Linked DNA regions of Saccharomyces cerevisiae S288C. Changing the gene in region 1 together with any one later gene gives a genetic interaction. Each region holds a gene or a part of one and is shown on either strand. Other genes may lie near its edges.

Region 1 (4,223 bases):
GATTGTCACTTGGAGAATAGCCACTTGCACTAACCAAAACTGGAACACCAAAAATGAGGCAGAGAAGATAGGAAAAAGATAGAACAAAAAATTTGTACATAAATATTTATAACTCTGTAGGCTTTTCTTCTCTCGTATTTTTACTACGTGGCCACATACTTGGTAACCTGACAAATTGGAATCTTGGTTCAACGCATCGTTCAACGAACCATTTTTTTATTTGGTATTCAATGACACTGCCGATCTTGGGAATATTTTCAAGTTTAGACCGTGAGCCAATTAGCGACTTGATTTCAAATTCCATTCTATATTCAGGAGAAAAAGAAAACATCAAAAAGTATCCTGAATTGCCCTCCATACCGTTTTCACTACTGCTACCGTTCGAAGTAGAAGCAAACTCCTCTGCATTAGTTAAAGATACGGTCAAACACGCCTGAAACCTCACAATTGACACTACTAGATTTATGGGGAGTGCGGCAATACCAGGCTTTGGATAGTTAAGTAATAGTTTTGTTTCTACTCCTAAAGTTAAGTGGTCATTTAAATCTATATCAATTTTAGCCTCTAGCTTTTTATTTCCTGAATTTGGCGAATATTGTATTCTGCAATTCGAGAAAATGGGGAAATCATCACCTGTATCCAGTTCAGTTATTTTTATGGTATCCAAATATTCAGGCAGATCGGGTGATTTTCTTCCAATAAAATCATTCAAGGAATGAAGGATATTGTCCCTGTGCCAAGCCTCACTGCGGAATTGCTGTATTATTTGGGCAACTAAAACGTTGAACCAGTCCAATGACTCTGCAGGGTGCACGTCGACATTATAATAGGTTTTCTCTAAAATAAGAGCTAGTTCTTGAAGATGTTCATTTTCTGCCTCTTCATTGAGCTCGTAGTGTTGTTTAGCACCCTTCCTAACAAGAGAAGTCAGGAATTCGCGAGATATAAAGGGATATTCTTTAAATTTTGATCTGTGACGGGAGGCTGCAGGTTTCGGATTCTTACTTTTAGATGGCTCATCACTGAATATAAAGAACTTTAGGAAAAAGATGAACAACAACACTATGCTTAGCTGTCCTACAAAAAACCCTTGAGCAAACGACCATCCAGAAAATTTGGAGGACGTTGCTAACGATCCTAACGAAGAAGGATGCAACACGCTTTGCATTTGCAAAGCTTGAATTGCATCATCGAGACCTTTGAAGCTCCCGTTTTTACTGACATTAAACTCTGAGTTGTTTGAAGTTTGCTTTAAGTCATTAGTAGTAGAACCCTTCAAATTCTCCATGATTAGTCTCTGTAAATGTTCAGGTAGCTCTTTGCTTATATAATCGTCAAACGTCATTAACGAATCCGTTTCGGTGGATTCATTCTCACTATCAGTCATTTTCAGAAAAAGGCTACAGGTATTATATTGACTCTCTCAAAGTTCTTTCATCTCATTGAGAAAATTATGAGGGGCACTTATTGTTGTAGATGATCTTTATTGGATGTTGACGGTTCTTCGGAATTGAAACGGATAGGCAGAAAGTGAAAAAATAAACTATTAAGGAAATACATGAAAAGAAGTAAACTGAAATGTATACAAGGGCAACCCGTTCCACGTTGGATTGACTCAATTGTGTCATCAGTAGGAAAATAGATTAAAGTAACCTCAAATAACGGCATAAGCAATGAAGCATAACAGGCAGATGCCAGATGAAAGCTTGGAAAACATAAAAGTGCTACTGAATCCTAAATTAGGAAAGCCAGTCAAGTCACTTACGAGTGCACAATCAAAAGCTTGCTATCATACGCTGATCAGTAATAAAAATTTGAACAAGACAAGTGATGAATACGAAAAGTTATTGGCAAACTATATCCTCCTTTGTGATGAAAAATACCTATGTAAAACCGTAATTCCAGATTCCCGATTTTGGGCTATATTGTGTGATAATTGCCAAAAGCTAAGGTCAGAAACGTTGGTAGCAAATCTCATTAGGATTTTTAATGTAGCCCTTAAATGCCAAGATTCTAATAAGAATGAAGTTATTGTGAGCATCTGCCACATCTCCAGAGAGAACTCTCAGCTCATTGGAATACTTTTACAACTTTTGTCCCAAAGACCTATTCATATACCGTTGTTTACGGACACTATACTATGCATAACCCTATTTTTAAAATGCTCACTTACATTATGTGAGACATCACTATCACACGCCGTAGAATTTGTACCCAGAATCCTCATTTTGCTATTTCAGTATAACTTTCCAGCTTCCATGTCTGAATTACTTTACATAGAAGACTTGCAACCACTAATCCTTGAAGAATTTGTACCGTTAAAGCAGAGGCTAATAAATTTTCTATCTTCGGTTAGTATTGATGATTATTCCTGTTCGCTTAAAGCTGATCTTCTTACAGCCATCAAAGATAACTCCGTATTCCAAAAAGGGTTAGAAATGGAAATGGGCGATCTTCCCAGTATAAATTTATTAAATGCGTATGATACATTCACATTCTTAAACAGTCCTAATGGGTCTTTCAAGAGACTTTACACTGAACAATTGTTGTTTGGCGAGAACGATTTCCCTCTTTATGAAGCAATATTTAAACTTTCAGACCAATTTAGAAGACTTTTCAATCTAAGTGGGAAAAAAGAGAACCAATACTCAGACTCAGAGCGTGATTTAAAATTACAAATTGCTACCGCTGTTCTCAATCGACAAACATGTTTTTACAAAACACTCGAGTTGTTTTTGAGATTTTGGATAGAATCATTAGCAAAATCGCAAAGTGATTTGGTTTCACTGTTAAATTTAGCTATTATCACTTTAAAATATGTTTGTTTGTCATCCAGTGATTTGGAAGCAGCAATACAGACGAAATCCCTTCTCAAGACCCAAGTTGTTGCACTTGACTCTATGAGATATAAATTTGCAAGAACATTACAATTAGACTCAATCAAAAAAGAACAGTATCGAACCTGGTCATCTAGTATCGCTAGCTTCGATACCATGCTATCAGGCCAGGTTCGTGATTACGTTCGTCATCAAAGACTTCTTCAATTGCAAAAGGGAACGTGGGTTTACGCAGAGAACCCACTGAATCCTGAAGCTGGCACGCCTAAAGTCTACTTCCTCATAGTTTCAGATAACCACGCAAATTTATTAGCCAGAGAATTCGAAACACAAACAAACGATTTACCTTATCTATTCGACAATAAAATTTTAACAAGTCCAGGTTCTGAGGCATTAGCTAATGGCAGAACAAAAGTTGTTGTTTTGAAACATATAACCTCTTTCAAAAGCATAGAACTTACTACACCGAGTCGTCGGACGAGCAGTAATGTTTACATCAAATTAGATGAAGCCAATGTGTACACTGGAGTTGAATTAAAAGATCGTAACGACAGGACAGTTTTGAAATTTTATTTAGACACAGAAGAGGGAAGATATATATGGCTAGACGGATTGAAATTGATATCTCCATTCCAGCATGAAGATATATCAGAAGACACGAAAGAACAAATAGACACTTTATTTGATTTGAGGAAAAATGTTCAGATGATAAATTTGAACGTTCGTCAGGACATCATAGTGCCTCCACCTGAACCAAGCGACGAGGACGAAGATGAAGAATTTTATAACTTGGAAACGTTAAAGAAAGTAACCCAAAATTTTTATTTTGATTAAGATACAAATTTGTCGTCAGACGATTTTTTTTTATTTATAACTTTTTTTTACTAGAATGGAATGTAATTTTGTAATTCTTTCCCGCAAGTAGCTTGAGTCTCCATTCAGTTCGTTTGTACTTGAAAAATCCTTTTAATATAGCATATAGCTTGCAGTTTATTAATACTCACTTCTACAGATTCAACAAAAAAAAAGGAATTTTTGACTAATCCCCTGTTTATTAGATGAATTAATGATATTTAAATACAAAGTATTAATAATATAATGACAGTGATAAGTATGTTGATATTTTATGATAATGACGATGAAAATTATTACCTACGGCTTTTGAAGCCCTTCTTCTTATTTGAATTTGTACTCTTCTGCTTTTTAAAAGTTCTTTCTTGATCTGCAATACGGTCGGTTTTGGTTTTTCTATAAGAACGTGCACCATTGCCATCTGCCTTAGCTTCTTCACGCTTTCTCTTTTTGCTGTTAGTGACTTTCTTGTTCCTTGATAAAGCACCTAATACTTTGGAATTTTTCTTATCTGATTCGCTTTGGAACCATGTC
Region 2 (3,634 bases), on another chromosome or scaffold:
CTTGAGGTTCAGCGATATCTTCGATCAGCTCATCACCCTTGTGGGTCTTAACGTACATGGGTTTGTCAGGTACCTCCACGATAAAATTTTCTAAGATAATCTTATCCCTTTTCTCTTTAAATTCTTGTAAGTCAGGATTTGCGAGTTCAGATGCGTTCATGTTCACCAGTTTATTTAAAGGCAATTTGCCCTCGACAACGTGTGCCTTCAGTTCCAAATTTTTTTTATCCTTTAAATTAGAGTATAACGACCTCACTTTCTCTGTGTATATCTTGTCCAAAGTACCAAACTCGACGTTAAGGCAAGCTTTGTAAAGTTCTTCTTCCAGATTGTGCGCAAACTCTTGCGATATCGATATAACGTCTTTCCCATCAGGAAGCTCATAAAGTTTTGCCTCAATTGTTTCGGGAACGATGAATTTGCTAAATAAGGTAGAGAACATTTTTTCTGCATTATACCTCAGTTTGTGTTCTTTTTCGCTTTCAAAATCTTTCCTAGTAGGCATTTCGTTTTCGGCAGTATCAGACTTGGCGGCATCAATGCTTTTATTCCTTTTTTTTGACCCATTGGATTTCTTCACCTGTTTGGATTTGATATGAATTCCTTTGGCACTATCGGGGCTCCTTTTTCGTTTCCTAGGGCTTTCCTCATCAAGAAAGACATCTGCATCATTGTCATCATGGTCATTTACGGGCTTGTAAACATCATCATGGTAATCTTCATCCTCTGAAACCTCTGCCTCCTTTGACGTTTCCAAATGTGCATACAATGATGGGTCGCACAATTCACAGTAGTACTTAGAATCTTCACTCATTAGCCCATCTATGGTGTCTTTACCATCAGTCATACATTTAATATGCTGCCAAGTGTCACAGCCATCGCACTGTACCATGTCGCCATGCGAATATTCTGCAGCATCGTAGTTTTCATTGTTCGCCCCACACAGACATCTAACATAGCCCTCATCCGCTTCGTCTACTTCGTCTGTTCTTACATTTTCAGTATCTTTCCTTGGCTCCTGAGAAGAATCAGACTTCTTATTCTTCTCTATGGCTGAATCAACTTTCTTTTTAGTTCTTTTTTTCTTTGGTGCTTCAGTCTCCTCCTGTAACAAATACTCAATATATTTATTCTGACCCTTATTAGATCTTGAAGAAGTACGGACAGACATAATAAATTTAAACTAAATAAAAGCTAAAAGTAAAAGAGAACCTAGGATAATCGATAGCTCCCTGTGTATAGAACAAGTCAAAATACTAAGATCTCGTCAACCTATCCTCTTTCATTGCAAGCCTTTTGGCCAAACTGCAGTCTGGGCATCCCTTTGCATGTCTTGTGAAATAGTATCCATCTCTCCCCAGCTCCCAGAAATGATATGAAAAGTTATTCGTGAAGAGTGATCCTAAAACTGAAAAAAGGAAAAAACAAAAATGAGCTAAAAAAACCACAACAAAAGAATATCAACTTCATTGCTTGGCGGGTCATCGCTTTTTTATTTCTTTCTGTCAAAGAATAATAAAGTGCCCATCAGTGTTCATATTTGTTACAAAGTGGTTTTCTGATTTGGTACTACTGCAGAGGCGTATTTTTTGCTTCAGTTACCATAGCGTAAGAACACTAGCGACTTTTGTTCGTGAACCAACAGAGTAGGATTTCTACTGCTACATCTCTTAGGTAGTTGGTTAGTCCGATCGCTCACTTTTGGTTGTTGTTAAGTACTTCATAAGTTTATCCTTTTCCTTTTTCACACTGAGCTACTTTGGGTATAGCTTTTGGCCCAAGGATCTTTGAATTTTCTCCAAAAGTACTTTATTTTATATCCTACAGGTTGCGGTTTTCATATTTTAAAAAGCTTTTAATCATTCCTTTGCGTATGGCAAACCCTTTTTCGAGATGGTTTCTATCAGAGAGACCTCCAAACTGCCATGTAGCCGATTTAGAAACAAGTTTAGATCCCCATCAAACGTTGTTGAAGGTGCAAAAATACAAACCCGCTTTAAGCGACTGGGTGCATTACATCTTCTTGGGATCCATCATGCTGTTTGTGTTCATTACTAATCCCGCACCTTGGATCTTCAAGATCCTTTTTTATTGTTTCTTGGGCACTTTATTCATCATTCCAGCTACGTCACAGTTTTTCTTCAATGCCTTGCCCATCCTAACATGGGTGGCGCTGTATTTCACTTCATCGTACTTTCCAGATGACCGCAGGCCTCCTATTACTGTCAAAGTGTTACCAGCGGTGGAAACAATTTTATACGGCGACAATTTAAGTGATATTCTTGCAACATCGACGAATTCCTTTTTGGACATTTTAGCATGGTTACCGTACGGACTATTTCATTTTGGGGCCCCATTTGTCGTTGCTGCCATCTTATTCGTATTTGGTCCACCAACTGTTTTGCAAGGTTATGCTTTTGCATTTGGTTATATGAACCTGTTTGGTGTTATCATGCAAAATGTCTTTCCAGCCGCTCCCCCATGGTATAAAATTCTCTATGGATTGCAATCAGCCAACTATGATATGCATGGCTCGCCTGGTGGATTAGCTAGAATTGATAAGCTACTCGGTATTAATATGTATACTACAGCTTTTTCAAATTCCTCCGTCATTTTCGGTGCTTTTCCTTCACTGCATTCCGGGTGTGCTACTATGGAAGCCCTGTTTTTCTGTTATTGTTTTCCAAAATTGAAGCCCTTGTTTATTGCTTATGTTTGCTGGTTATGGTGGTCAACTATGTATCTGACACACCATTATTTTGTAGACCTTATGGCAGGTTCTGTGCTGTCATACGTTATTTTCCAGTACACAAAGTACACACATTTACCAATTGTAGATACATCTCTTTTTTGCAGATGGTCATACACTTCAATTGAGAAATACGATATATCAAAGAGTGATCCATTGGCTGCAGATTCAAACGATATCGAAAGTGTCCCTTTGTCCAACTTGGAACTTGACTTTGATCTTAATATGACTGATGAACCCAGTGTAAGCCCTTCGTTATTTGATGGATCTACTTCTGTTTCTCGTTCGTCCGCCACGTCTATAACGTCACTAGGTGTAAAGAGGGCTTAATGAGTATTTTATCTGCAATTACGGATACGGTTGGTCTTATGTAGATACATATAAATATATATCTTTTTCTTTCTTTTTCTTAGTCAGGATTGTCGTTTAGCATAATATACATGTAGTTTATTTAATCACATACCACTGATTATCTTTAGAATTTTATAAATTTTTGAAATAAATGGGTGGCTTTTAATGGTGTCTATGTTAAGTGAGGCTTTTAGAATGCTCTTCCTGCTTTGTTTATTATATGTGTATGAAAGATATGTATGTATTTACATGTGTTTGTAGCGTCCCCAGTCAAAACCTGTGCGCTATACCTAAATGGATTGATAATCTTCATTCACTAATTCTAAAATAGACTTCTTCCCCAAAGAACGGTGTAACGATGAGGCTCTATCCAGCTGCTTATCTAAATCAACTTTAACGATGGATGATCTTATGACACGGGGATCTTTCTTTAAAGTTCTTAGAATTTCAGACTGTACCGCAGCTGATGAATCAAACAGCATTAAAAAGTGATATGCTCGAAAATGTTTTTCCTGGTCTTTCTTCATTATTTTA

What was found. A genetic interaction does not mean that the proteins touch.
Region 2: of LMO1 (region 1) and AUR1, a mutation in one rescues a mutant of the other (synthetic rescue), as found in Saccharomyces cerevisiae (2 studies listed by BioGRID, with this or other methods).

What each region holds. Positions count from the first base shown.
Region 1 is NC_001144.5:133,750-137,972, reverse strand, and holds LMO1 (Lmo1p), read left to right. Parts: upstream 1-1,673; coding exon 1,674-3,671; downstream 3,672-4,223. Other genes in the region: SPO75 (Spo75p), read left to right, coding at 1-33; ERMES complex subunit MMM1, read right to left, coding at 107-1,387; YLL006W-A (uncharacterized protein), read right to left, coding at 1,452-1,628; DRS1 (putative ATP-dependent RNA helicase), read right to left, coding at 3,986-4,223. UniProt on the Saccharomyces cerevisiae protein: Forms a transiant heterodimeric complex with DCK1, that acts as a guanine nucleotide exchange factor (GEF) for the small GTPase RHO5. DCK1, LMO1 and RHO5 relocate to mitochondria upon oxidative stress and trigger cell death.
Region 2 is NC_001143.9:433,707-437,340, forward strand, and holds AUR1 (inositol phosphorylceramide synthase), read left to right. Parts: upstream 1-1,873; coding exon 1,874-3,079; downstream 3,080-3,634. Other genes in the region: BYE1 (Bye1p), read right to left, coding at 1-1,171; mitochondrial 37S ribosomal protein bS6m MRP17, read right to left, coding at 3,391-3,634. UniProt on the Saccharomyces cerevisiae protein: Catalytic component of the inositol phosphorylceramide synthase which catalyzes the addition of a phosphorylinositol group onto ceramide to form inositol phosphorylceramide, an essential step in sphingolipid biosynthesis.